Linked DNA regions of Danio rerio. The protein of the gene in region 3 purifies or fractionates together with the protein of the main gene of each other region. This does not show direct contact. Links are inferred from orthologs where the notes say so. Each region holds a gene or a part of one and is shown on either strand. Other genes may lie near its edges. The genes, in order: chd1l, lig3 and aplf.

Region 1 (3,654 bases), on a different chromosome or scaffold from region 3:
GCCAGACTTACCAAGGTCTCTCATCAGAATGGCTTTATAGTATCTCTTCTGAAGAGCAGACAGCCCATGAAAAACTACGAGCTCTGTCTTCTTGGGCAGTTCGGCCGCCACTTCTGCCTTAACCCTGCGCAGCAAAAACGGCTGGAGCACTTGATGAAGCTCATCGACTGCAGACAAGAACAACAATATTACAAACTCCAGCACAAATGTGACAAATTTATGAGCTCTATCCTCTGACAGCCTCTGGCAAATCTGACAGGAGTCAAGGAGACAGCATCTATTCTGACATCTTTTTTTAGGTGTGTGTGCTCTGTCATGTCTGTGGTTTATCTGAGGTACTCAGTTTGGCACCAGATCAGACCAATTTCTTCATATCACTCAGATCAGAGCTCTAATAATAACAAAACAAAACGATTTAAAGGAATGGTTCACCATAAACTGCTCATTTTGTCATCATTTACTCCTCTTTTACTTGTTCCAAACCTGTTTGACTTTTTTGTCAAACACAAGGGATGATATTTTGAAGAAAGCTACTGTAGGAACCTATATACATTGACCTCAAAAGTGTTTGTTTTTCATACTATGGAAGTCAATGGTTGCAGGTTTTCAGCTTTCACAATATATTAATTTGTGTTCATCACAAGAATCTCATAAATGTTTGGAAACACTTGAAGATGAGTAAATAGTGAAAACATTTTCGTTTTGGTTGAACTATCCCTTTAAGTAAATGTTTTCTGTCGGGAAGTCATGGCACAGTAATTTTCACCAAAATCGACAATTAAAGCGACCAGTAAAAGAGCTTTTTATAATTTTATAATTTGTAATTTTATTTTATATAGAGCTTGCCTATTAAACTAACGCCCTCAAGCTTTATTAAGGCAGTTACTATGACTACTTAAAGGGCACCTATGATGAAAATCAACTTTTGTACGCTTTCTGGACAGAACTGTCTGTATGTAAAGTGTGTCCACAGTCATATTGGAGTGATACAAACCCAACAAGTCTCATCATTATTATTTATTGACATTAAAATCATTAAAATAGGACCCAAATGTCAGTAATTTTGAGACCCACCGCAACGTGACATAGGAGTGCAGTTTTCCCCACCCACCGAATTGATTTACAGGCATCATGTTTGTATAATAACATGTATACACACGTCCACAGAACAATTTGCAAATAAACTGGGATTCAAATATTTGTTACAACTCTCTGTGATTTTTAAAAGTTTAAAACATTTTTAAAACAGAGCATGTTTGTAATAAAGAAAGTAAAATCAAAATCGACTTCCTAACAGTTATAATCACCATGTGCAGTGAGTGTGTGTGTGTGTTGCGTCATATTTGTGTGAGACTCATCATTTCAGAAAGGCTTGAATTAACTCACAAATACAAATACTAGTTATTTTTTACTAATGAGCTGTATTTAAGCTTTATGCGCGCCTGTCTCTATCACTGACTACTGTTTATTTGACCTAACGCATGATGAGAAGCAGACATGCACGTGGGAATGGTGGGCGGGGAGAAGCAGCTTGTTTGCATTTAAAGCCACAGGCTGCAAAAGCAGCTACAATGTACTCAGACACCAAAATGGGAAAATTCTGGAGGCTATAAAATAATATCTAATGGGTATTTTGAGCTGAAACTTTACAGACACATTCTGGAGACACCAAAGGCTTATTTAGATTTGTAAAAGGGGTAAAAAAGGTGCCTTTTAACATTTGATTAAGCCAAAAGCTTTAAGTGCTAATAAGGGTCGTGGTAGATAAAACGTCTTTCAGCGCTAAGGATTTGATTTTTATACTCAAACTGCAATGCCTCGCGCTGTCATACCAAGAGCAGGTTCAGTCTGTATGTCTGCGTAGGCATTGACAAAGTCCTCAACAGCTTCAGGGAGAAACACACTGGGCTGGATGAAGGTGAGGAGGGAATAGACTTCTTGTAAGTTATTCTGAATGGGGGTGCCTGTCAGTAGCACTCGAAATCCCACTGTAAACTGTGGGGGAAAAAAGGATGTCAGTTAATAGAAAGAGAAAGCTGAGAAAATGACAGGAAGGGGAATTATTATCAGGAGTTTTATAGACTGACAGTGAATTTATATACAACAATGGCAAATTTTAAAGCATTAGCATGCCTATTGTGTTAAAGTGGAATTGTGTAACCTCTTTGAGGGTTTGGTGAAGCAACGACTCCTGGTTCTTGAGGCGGTGAGCCTCATCCACAACTAAAATCTTCCATTTCCAGCTGTGGGAAGAAAAAAGTCACTTACAACAATAAAACCGATTACAATTTTCATGTTATGATACATTATTGGGCAACACGGTGGCTCAATGGTTAGCACCGTTGCCTCACAACACAGTTGCCTCGTTCGATATCCAGCTGGGTCAGTTGGCATTTCTATGTGGAGTTTGCATGTTCTCCCCCATGTTCATGTGGGTTACCTCCAGGTGCTTCGGTTCACTATAGGTGAATTAAATAAGCTAAACTGTTCATGGTGTATGAGTGTGAATGAGTGTGTATGGATGGTTTCCCAGTACTGGGTTGCAGCTGGAAGGGCATTTGCTGCATAAAACATATGATAGATAAGTTGGCAGTTCATTCCGCTGTGTCGACCCCTGATTAATAAACGGACTAAGCCGAAAAGAAAATGAATGAATGATTTGTACATTATTGTTATTATGTTGTTTCATGTTGATAACTGATATTTGTTGGACATAAAAAAAAAAAATTAGACAATATTTTTGTCTAAATAATTAAAAATATGACACAAAACCTTTACAGCTACAAATGGCTAATTTATTATAAATCAGTTATTTTTAAAAAACCAACGACAAGCAACTCTAATCAAAAACAATAAAAAAGACAGAGAAAAACAACATTTGGAACAAAAAAAAATTATAATAAAATAGAATTTGGAAAAATTTCATAGGGCTTAAAATTCAAATTGTGGAATTAATCAATATTTACATTTAAAATTAGGTTACGAAGAAGTCCTGTAAAGTGCTGTGAATTGTGTAATTTTTATCCGAAATTGGACGTAATCTCAACTAAAACATGAAGAGAGAGTGGGACAGAGTGGCTTTGTTTTATTGTTTTTCTCACAGCTCTGTCAGTGAAAACGGTTGAGCTCAAGCACATCAAATGAAAAGCAAATGAGTGTTGAAGGGGGCGGGGCATGTCAGATACTAAAGAGCATAAGATTGACCAAGATTTGAGGAGAAACTGAAGTATGAGGTTACGTGATTTGTTGATCCATTAGACATCCTTAACTAACATACTGCTTGTTACATCTAAAAAAAAACTTTATTTTAATTTCACGGAACCTTTAACTTTAAAAAGTGTTAAATGACCACAAAGCATGTTTTGAGAGGGAATTTAACATTAAATAAACAAAATTTACAAATATACATCTCCAACACCATCATTAAATAATAAGTGATAAAAAATATATATATAAAAACACTATTCTGGATCAGGGTGGGGCCAAGTAGGATCACTCTGATCCCCCGAGCTCTTCAAGGGTTGTGGAAATTCCACATTGAACCAAAACAAACCATTACAATTGGCTTAAGATTGGCAAGGAAAATTCAGCACATGCGTCAACCAGCAGAACTTAGGCGGAAAAAACACTATTGTGTAAACACGGTTAATTACA
Region 2 (4,405 bases), on a different chromosome or scaffold from region 3:
CCTCCCATCCCTCCAGTTCAGTGATGTCCTCAATCTTCTTTGTGGTGGCCCGCGCTCTCTCAAGCTTCTCAAAGATACACTTTACATGATACCATTCCTTCATTTCCCCTGCAGACTCGCTGAATGGGTTTGGAACGATCTTGCCGATCCTGACCAGACCTTTCATGATCTTGTCTTTGCATTTCTTGCAGCCAGCCGTGCCACGTTTGGCATATTCAACACAGTATCTCTGCTCCGCCATATCCGCTTGTTCACTCCTCCGCACAGGCCAGGAAATGTGGAAATAAGAGCTGGATATTAAAGTAAATGCTGGAGTGTGTGGCGCACAGAAAAAGACTCCACTGGGGCTTGATTCAGAGCCCCGTGTAAATATAAGAGTCCTCGAGCACTGGAGATATTGGTGTTTGAGTGTTGCTCTAAATAAAGGCTCCCAAGAAATTTTGGTCAAAGATGATCTGCTGAGTGTTCTTAATGCCCTGCCAAGCCAAAGACTGGGCATAAAGTTCAGTAAGACAGAAAAGTCTTCATCTCATAAAATAGACGCGAATCCTTCAAGAAAAATAGAAATAGAAAAATAGTTATCATGGTTAATGGTGGTCATTTTGAGTTGAGTTGAAAACTTAAGGCTAGTATGGTGAGCTGGCAGTAGGGCTGTGCGATTAATTGAAATCGAATTGTAAATGCGATTTGAAATGTTGCATTTAGTTAATCGCAAATGTCTGAGATATGAAATATATATCTGCATAATATAATTTCCCCCACCCAGAGCAAATGCGTGACTGCCGTCTGTGTGTGACAGCCTTACTAGCAAATTGAGTGAGCTCACTTTTGTCTGCCCAATAACAATTGCACAACTGAACTTTGAAATAACTAAAAATAGCTGATTTATTTATGACTATGTATTGGAAAAAAACAACTGAAACACTCAATGTAAACAAGTAAAGAAAAAAGGTACGAAAAAAGGTATTGGTTAGGCATGGGACAATAACCATTATCAAGGTTCCGGCGGTTTAAAAAAGTCACGATTTTAAATCGCCAACATTTTCTGTTATACCGTTCTTACGGTATATGTAAGATTTTTTCGTTTTTTAGGACAACAGTATCTCCAGCAGAAATTATGTCCAAAAATGCCGCTTTTAAATTGTAAGGACATTTGTGTTTTAGAAACTAATGAAGACAGCAGAAGTCTGTAGCTATGTTTCCATCCAAAAATGCGAATTAACTTTATGCACCCAACTGGATTATCGCATAAAAGACGTGCAAATGAAGCAGCGTTTCCATCCAACAAGTCAAAGAGAACAAAATCGTCACTTTATTATTATAATTAACTGGCACCAAATATCAACAGTAAAAACGGAATTTGTGGAATCTGCGGCAGGAGAAGCTGCATGACTCTTTTCCTCATTTAATAAATGACTTGCGCCTCAGAAGACAATGCTGACACGCAATGAACAAGTGATGGTGTTTGAAGAAATGAGATGAGGAGCAAAAATGCTCTCGACAGTTCTGGGGGTAATTAATAATATAATAACACTAATACTGCAACGGTTAAGGATTTTTAGAAAGACCACAACAACATTTCAGATGTTTTTAATCTGGTCAGCCTGCTGATTTGTCCATTCACACACATTTTTATCATCACATGATCTCTTATAACAAAATCACATGACCTTTTTAATGTGCATACTGGAATTTGTTGCTAAAAGTGTTTCCATCTTAGTTTTTGTGCATCTTTTGTTGTTGAATAAAAAGTTTATCCTACTCAGTTGTGCATACAGTTTTTATGCGCATTTTCAAAATGTATGTGCATCTTGGCGATTTGGTGGAAACATAGCTAATGAATCATATGAATCATTTAGCCTGACATGTTGACTGTTTCAAAATAATTTAAAAATTTCCCTAAATTAAATTACATTGTGTTCAAAAAGAAAATAGTTTTAGTTTTTTACTCAGACTTTTTAAAAGAGCATATTTTAGAGCAGTAATAGCAATTCCGTGAAACCGTGATATTTTTATCCAAGGTTATCATATCGTCAGAATCATATAGCAACCAATGTCTAGTATTGGTACAGTGACAAAATGCAAAACCTACATACATGCAGTCAATCATATGTCTTTTTATGAATCATACAGTAATGTTCTGTTCTAACTGAGGTAAAGTTGGTTTTATATTCACTCATTCGTTCAGTAGCAATAAGTGCCAGGCTCCCAATACTGTTGGTACTTTGAATATTCGGTCTGAAATCATATGTAAATATGACTTCAAAACAACATTAGCACTATTTAACTGACTGTAAACATTGTTGTACTTTGATCGTCATAATAGTCTGATAATGTGATTTCACTATTTACAAATAATATTTTTCTAAAATTATATTATTTAAGAGAAAGTCTGAATGTACGAATATAAAACGAACTTTACCTCGTTTACGTTTATAAAGAATTTAGTCGTGTGAATTACAAAACACCTGCAGTAAAACAATGCAGTGCATGTGAAAATAGACTATTTAGCAACTTTAGAAAAACTAAAACGGTAATTTTCATACAGCCTGTCCTAAATTTATCGTTTCATACAGATACAATGTCACTTAAATTTATTTGTTTATAGTTTTGTTTACGTGTCGCTTTGTTGATCAACGTGGAATTAGCTCACATGCTAATGTTAGCTGCACTCTGCACCAACAGCCATAAAGAAACTAACTACAAGAGGCAGCATTGAAGTTATTTTAAATTCCGGATTACCTCAGTCTTCATTGTTAGCCGATCCCAAGCTCCGGATTTCATTTTTAAAAAGCACTCACAGATGTATTAGCAAAAGAGCATGATTTCTGTATTGTGTGCTGTCCCCTTTAAATCACACGAGTTCTTCCTCTTTGTTTGGAAGTGGTTCCTGTTCAGTGCGCATGCGCAGAAAATTCATGTTCGTTTCATGGTCATATTATGTGTTGTTCAAATCGTTTATCTATCTACTTGGCACGAATCCGAAGTGACTGATTCTAAACACAACATTTTCTCGTTGAGACTCGTTGTAGTTTAAAAAAAAAATAAAACACGTTTTCTAACCAAATAAAAGCTTGATATTAAATCCACAAAGTGATGTTTTCCAGGACCTGTTAAGAGAGCTTATATACTGTTTTATCATGATAAGAAAAATGTGTGTGATATTCAGTAGTGGAAAGAGTACTAAAAACATAATCATGTAAAAGTACCTCTTGCCCAAAAATGTAGTCCAAGTTGAGTTAAAGTATCTGTTGTAAATACTCAAAAGTATGAGTAAAAAGTAGTACTCAAAAGCTGGGAGAGGTTGATGCGTTCACATGTGATTTGTGCATGTCTGTGTAAACGTAACATTCTGTAGTGCAATGTAACGTTAGGGGAGCGCGGGGCACAAAGTAACGTGGGGTAAAACGTACACTTACATTTTAAGGTATTTTTTCAGGGTTAACCATGCCATCCTTCCAGGTTTGCACTGCAGCATCGGAAGATGCCTTCATAAGTTCTGCAAAATTTGGATGAAAAACAGGAGAAACCATTATTGCAGCATAAAAGTATTTTTTATTAAACTCTATTTTTTTTATTTTTAAAAAATCTGTGAACATATGTATGAAAAGACTTTTATTTATGTGATTACCATCTTCAAGGCTAAAAGATGGAACCATTTTGAAAAGTGTGAGACTGCTTGCCAGTTTTGAGGAAAACATAACACAGAGTGTTGTAAGGGGGGTTTACAAATAATCCACACACTGTTGGACACCGATTAAACTTAATAATTGTTGAATGTTGAGAACTTTTCATATAAAATGTTTTTAATAGAAAATATTTTAATAGAAAAAAATAATTTTATTGCTAATAAATGGATTGTATAATAACGGATAATTATGCAAATAAATCCAAATGTGTTTATCCAATAAATAAATAAACATGCTGTGCTATGTAGAATAAAAAATAGCTACTGAGGAAATACACTATTTAAAGTAAACAGAATTTAAATTAATTGTGTGAAATCTGCCTTTTTAAGCATGTGTTACAACTAACTCACTGTTACAACTTGCCCCGCAGTTGGGGTAAACAGTAACATTTTTACTCCTAGCACTTTTGGCAATACTGCACAGAAATCATAGGACCGGCGATCATACTTTCAGTGCTCATTTGTAGGAGCGGCTTGTGTGTTGCTGGTAAAAAAAAATATGGTTCGGACTTTGTTTATTATTTGGCCAAAACCAAAAAGTGTTACTTTGTGCCCGGCTCACCCCTAATAATACATTTCTTAGAAGTTTGATTTATTATCCTGCGACTTTTAGACGCAAGTACTTTTGGAATAACCAATTTGAGAATATCGACTGGAACTTGATCTGGACTTATAACAACAAATATTGTGTCACATGTAGAGTCAGTGAAATGTACT
Region 3 (4,309 bases):
CCTGTCACATGTTGTCATTGTTCAAAAATAAACAACTGTGGGAATATTTTTTATTGTTTTATTTTTTTTTTATTAACCATAAGTTAAAGTACAAACCATGACGGCATATTCAACAGTCCAATACATATAGTATTAGAGTTGATTTAAAAGTACATGATTGGGAACAAAACACACACACACACACACACACACACACACACACACACACACACACACACACACACACATACACACACACACACACACAAATAAAAAATAAAACTCATTTAAAAAAAGGAGGTTGGGGGGGGGGGGGGGGGGGTGAGAGTCTTAATCAAGTAATATAAACGAGTCCAAGGTGTGTGAAAGTTTACGGGCATTTCTGTTCGTCATGAAGTGAGAAGTCCTTACAAACATCTTCAGATCATTCCTCCATCCATTAAAGTGGGGTTTCACCTTTACAAATTTGCATCTATGAATGAAGTGTTTAGCTAGAATAATTAGATTATTTACCAAAAAGTCTAGGTCCTTGCCCTTTAAAAATATACCAACTTTGAAAGTGTATATTTGTCTTTGTTTGTAATGCAGCCAGTACTGAAACTCCCTCCATAAATGTTTTTAGAATTTCACATTGAAAAAAAAAAATGTTCTACAGTTTCAATATCTTTCTCACAAAAGCTGCATGAATTGTTTTCCCAGTTAAACTTTTGATGTAAAAAAAAAATATTAGATGGATATAAAGTGGGAATGTAAACTTTACCTCAATCTGGAGCGGATCCTGAAGCCCGGAGCAACACCACCGGGTCAGCTTCTGGCCTGCAGACGGCGCTGCTGCTCCTTCTACAGACATTCTGCATTGCTCGGCCACCCCAAACCTTTATTAAACACCTGTTATTCTTATGACAGAAGAGTTCAATCACAAATCTAATGCTATTTAAGGTGTTAAAGTTTAAACAGCGAGTGTAATTAACATTCTAGGCCTAGTTTTATAAGCAGATGCACCGCCGACAATGTAAATCTAGCTAAACAAAGACTAGAACAGATTTTAAAAAACAAACCCAAGATGTTCGCGTTTATATGTCTATTTGAGGTACGATAGGTAATGATATTTGTGAAAATATTGTGGTAATTTGTGAAAATTCATACCGAAAGCAGCGCTGACAGCTGAGGGTTTAAACGTCTGGTTTGTTTACCCCAGAAACGTCACTAGACAAGCCTCGCCCCGTACTCACCACGCATGCGCGTCACTTTATGAGTTATTTTAAGTCAGAAGTATGGTTTGGAAAATGTATTACTTAAACGTTCAATATTCGTATTATTATATGCATTTTTGCTAATTTATGCGCAAACGTTTAGAAAATGTCTATCGTGTGTATTGAAACAGCGCATGCTCATAGTTTGAGCTGACCGGAAGTCCTTATTCTCGTACGAAAAATAATTATTATTCAAATTGTACTACATTCTGGCGTGATCACAGTGTTTCTTTCGCGTTTTCTGTACTAATGAAGCAGCGATCAGTTTGCTTGCTGTTTGTAACACACTAACGCATTCATCTTAGCCGTCTAAATCAGCAGTAAGTAACATCTTGAAGTTAGTTACTAAATGACAGAGTTTGTATAGATCATGTAAAGTATGGAGAGAGCAGCGCATGCGGGATCAAGATAAGCTTTAGAACAGTTGCATGCACTTTATGTCCTTATTTAACCAGCATTCACTTTGATTTTTAATTAAAATAGGTGTTTTGTTCTGCACAGATCATGCCAGGCTTTGAGCTGGAGCAGGTGGACGGTGGCAGTCCTGTGGATCTGCCCTATGGAGAGACTGTCCTGGGCAGAGGGCCATTTCTAGGGGTGCAGTACATTTTCACCTATATGGCTTAATCATATATGTATTAAATTATTTTATGTGTTCTTAACAGTGTGCCAGTTATTAGGTTTAAGTTGATAACATGGGTGCCAACTTGGAAGTACAAGGTTCTGTTTGCTTTCTAAGCAGATATAAGATCTAGAGCTGTGAAGTTTTTACATTCTGTATAGTAAATATTATATGGGGAAACAAGTCTCTTTGATGCATAAAAATAACAGAGACATGTATGTTTATGTAAATTTATTCTAAATGTGCATTATTAAAATCCTCTCAAGTTTGTAAGTGGGTATTTTAGGAGTAAAACAAAGAACAAATGCAGATTGTCTTCATAATTATATATATATATATATATATATATATATATATATATATATATATATATATATATATATATATATATATATATAAAGCTTTTTTATTCTTAATTTTCTTCTAATTAAGCATACAAGGCAATTATAAATATATTTATTTATTAATACTATTTAAGCAGGCATTATTTAAGCAGGAATATGGTGGTTAATTAATCACATTATTGCTCAAACTATTTAAATTTCATTTGATTTAAAGCAGCTATACTGTAAGTGATCGATAACATGCTAATGTTTATTGTTGTAATCAGGACCCAACAATTAAATTGTTGGCTATTTCACCGTAAAATGTAAGACTTTTTAAAGACATTAAACCTGCAAAAGTAAAATATTTTGGCCCGCTGAATGTTTTCTACTTGTTACTTTAGGGCAGAGTTGCTCAAAGTTGGCCCATGGTAAACTTTGATTTGGCCATCCCATCTGAGAAGAGATTTAGAACGAAGGTTGCATCAAATGTCTTCAACACAGATGGACATTTCTAATTTAACGTAACCTTTTGTTTGTTTGTTTAATTGTTGAGCTACAAAAAAGTCAACAGGAATTAAATGTTTCAATTAAATGTGCATGAATCAGATTTTTGAAAATGTAAATACTGTCACTCGAAGATAGAGGACAACACCTAAGTCATCGGCGAACAAATCAAGCCAAAGGCAGGTTCAGCTTGACTTGTGTATTCAGCATTAAACAGCATTGTGTTATAAATGTATTTATGTTCTTAGTGTAAGAAGTTCATTTTAAAAACTGTTTAAAAATATATAATTATTAATATGATTGAAGTATTTTTCTATTTATTTTTCAATATTAATAAATTAGTAAATCACCATGACAGCTTTATTGTAATAGTTTGGTAAGCGCTGCTTTAGGGTCTTCAACCAAATCTGTTACTTTCAGTTTAATGCAGGCCATTTATCTTCCTGCGATGAGCAACCAAGTCCTGAAGATGGCACTCAAACTCTTACATCTGAGGGTTAGAAATAAGACACTCATATCTCATGAACTGATGTAAATAAATAGTTTTTATCGCATTAACAAATGTCTGTAGTGATCGTTAAAGCAACATAAAAGAAGATATTTTAAAGAATGTTGAAAACTGATAGCCATTGACTTCTGTAGGAATTACAATACAGTGGAAGTCAGTGGCTAAGTTTTCAACAGTCTTCTCTTTATATGTTATTCTTGTGTTCAACAGAAGAAACGCAAACAGGCTTGAAATAACTGGAGGCTGAGAATATGATGACAAAATATTCTATATAGTTTCAGTTTTTTTTATTTGAATGTAATAATCTTCTTTTGGTATTGTTTTTGATCATGATTTCATGTAAATTCCTAATTTTTTTTTTTGTTGGATCCCAGGAAGAACAGCCACAATGTAAATAGTGGATGTTAAATACCCTATAAAATAAAAAAGTTTTTTTTAGTTAATGTTTGTTCATTTTGAGACCACCCATCAATCATTTATTGTGTTTAAAATAAGCCTAATAGACATCTAAAAATACTAAACTACTCATAAAATAAACAGGAATACATGACTACACGTGTGAAGTCTAAACCTTGGCATTTGATGACTATAGTCTACTTTTGGGCTATTCTTAGACATCTGTTAGATTTAAGGCCAAATATAGTCTTGCTTTAGCCAACCTGTCAATGTTTAGATGTCTATTAGACATCTATTAAACGTAAAACTGCTTGATGGGCATCTGTAAGCTAATGTGCACCTAAAAGTTGATCACTTTTAACATATAAACACTTACATTTACAGCCATTCTCTTTCAAAATGACACATCCTGCCCGTCTCAGACAAACTTCCTGTTTTAAGAGGAAATCTGTCGCAACAAGACTGAACGCTGTGTTCTTAAAGCCATTTCATGTGACAGATGAGGGCTTTAAATCAGCCATATAACAGTGAAGTGGCCTCATGCAGTCATTTAATGTTCTGCAACATGTTTGATGAACAACACTGAGCTTTAACAGTCATGATAGTGATGGCCGTCATTGGACCGTTATAATTAGAAGTGCCATTGGATCCTCTTTATGAAGTAATGCAGTGCATAGACAACTATTCCAAAGTTTGGGGGTAGTATGATTTGTAATGACGT

Evidence for each region.
Region 1: the proteins of aplf (region 3) and chd1l purify together in Homo sapiens (affinity purification with mass spectrometry; 4 studies listed by BioGRID and IntAct, counting the BioPlex papers as one, with this or other methods). This does not show direct contact. The link is inferred for Danio rerio from reciprocal best matches to the Homo sapiens genes APLF and CHD1L.
Region 2: the proteins of aplf (region 3) and lig3 purify together in Homo sapiens (affinity purification with mass spectrometry; 3 studies listed by BioGRID and IntAct, counting the BioPlex papers as one, with this or other methods). This does not show direct contact. The link is inferred for Danio rerio from reciprocal best matches to the Homo sapiens genes APLF and LIG3.

Annotation. Positions count from the first base shown.
Region 1 is NC_133181.1:39,408,286-39,411,939, reverse strand, and holds part of chd1l (chromodomain-helicase-DNA-binding protein 1-like), read right to left. Parts: intron 2,244-3,654; coding exon 2,162-2,243; intron 1,996-2,161; coding exon 1,833-1,995; intron 168-1,832; coding exon 12-167; intron 1-11. UniProt on the Homo sapiens protein: ATP-dependent chromatin remodeler that mediates chromatin-remodeling following DNA damage.
Region 2 is NC_133180.1:66,733,718-66,738,122, reverse strand, and holds the start of lig3 (DNA ligase 3), read right to left. Parts: upstream 2,902-4,405; 5' UTR 2,743-2,901; intron 550-2,742; 5' UTR 500-549; coding exon 1-499. UniProt on the Homo sapiens protein: Isoform 3 functions as a heterodimer with DNA-repair protein XRCC1 in the nucleus and can correct defective DNA strand-break repair and sister chromatid exchange following treatment with ionizing radiation and alkylating agents.
Region 3 is NC_133176.1:54,936,983-54,941,291, forward strand, and holds the start of aplf (aprataxin and PNK-like factor), read left to right. Parts: upstream 1-1,388; 5' UTR 1,389-1,552; intron 1,553-1,715; exon of another isoform or gene 1,716-1,733; 5' UTR 1,734-1,736; coding exon 1,737-1,829; intron 1,830-4,309. Other genes in the region: fbxo48 (F-box only protein 48), read right to left, coding at 740-829. UniProt on the Homo sapiens protein: Histone chaperone involved in single-strand and double-strand DNA break repair.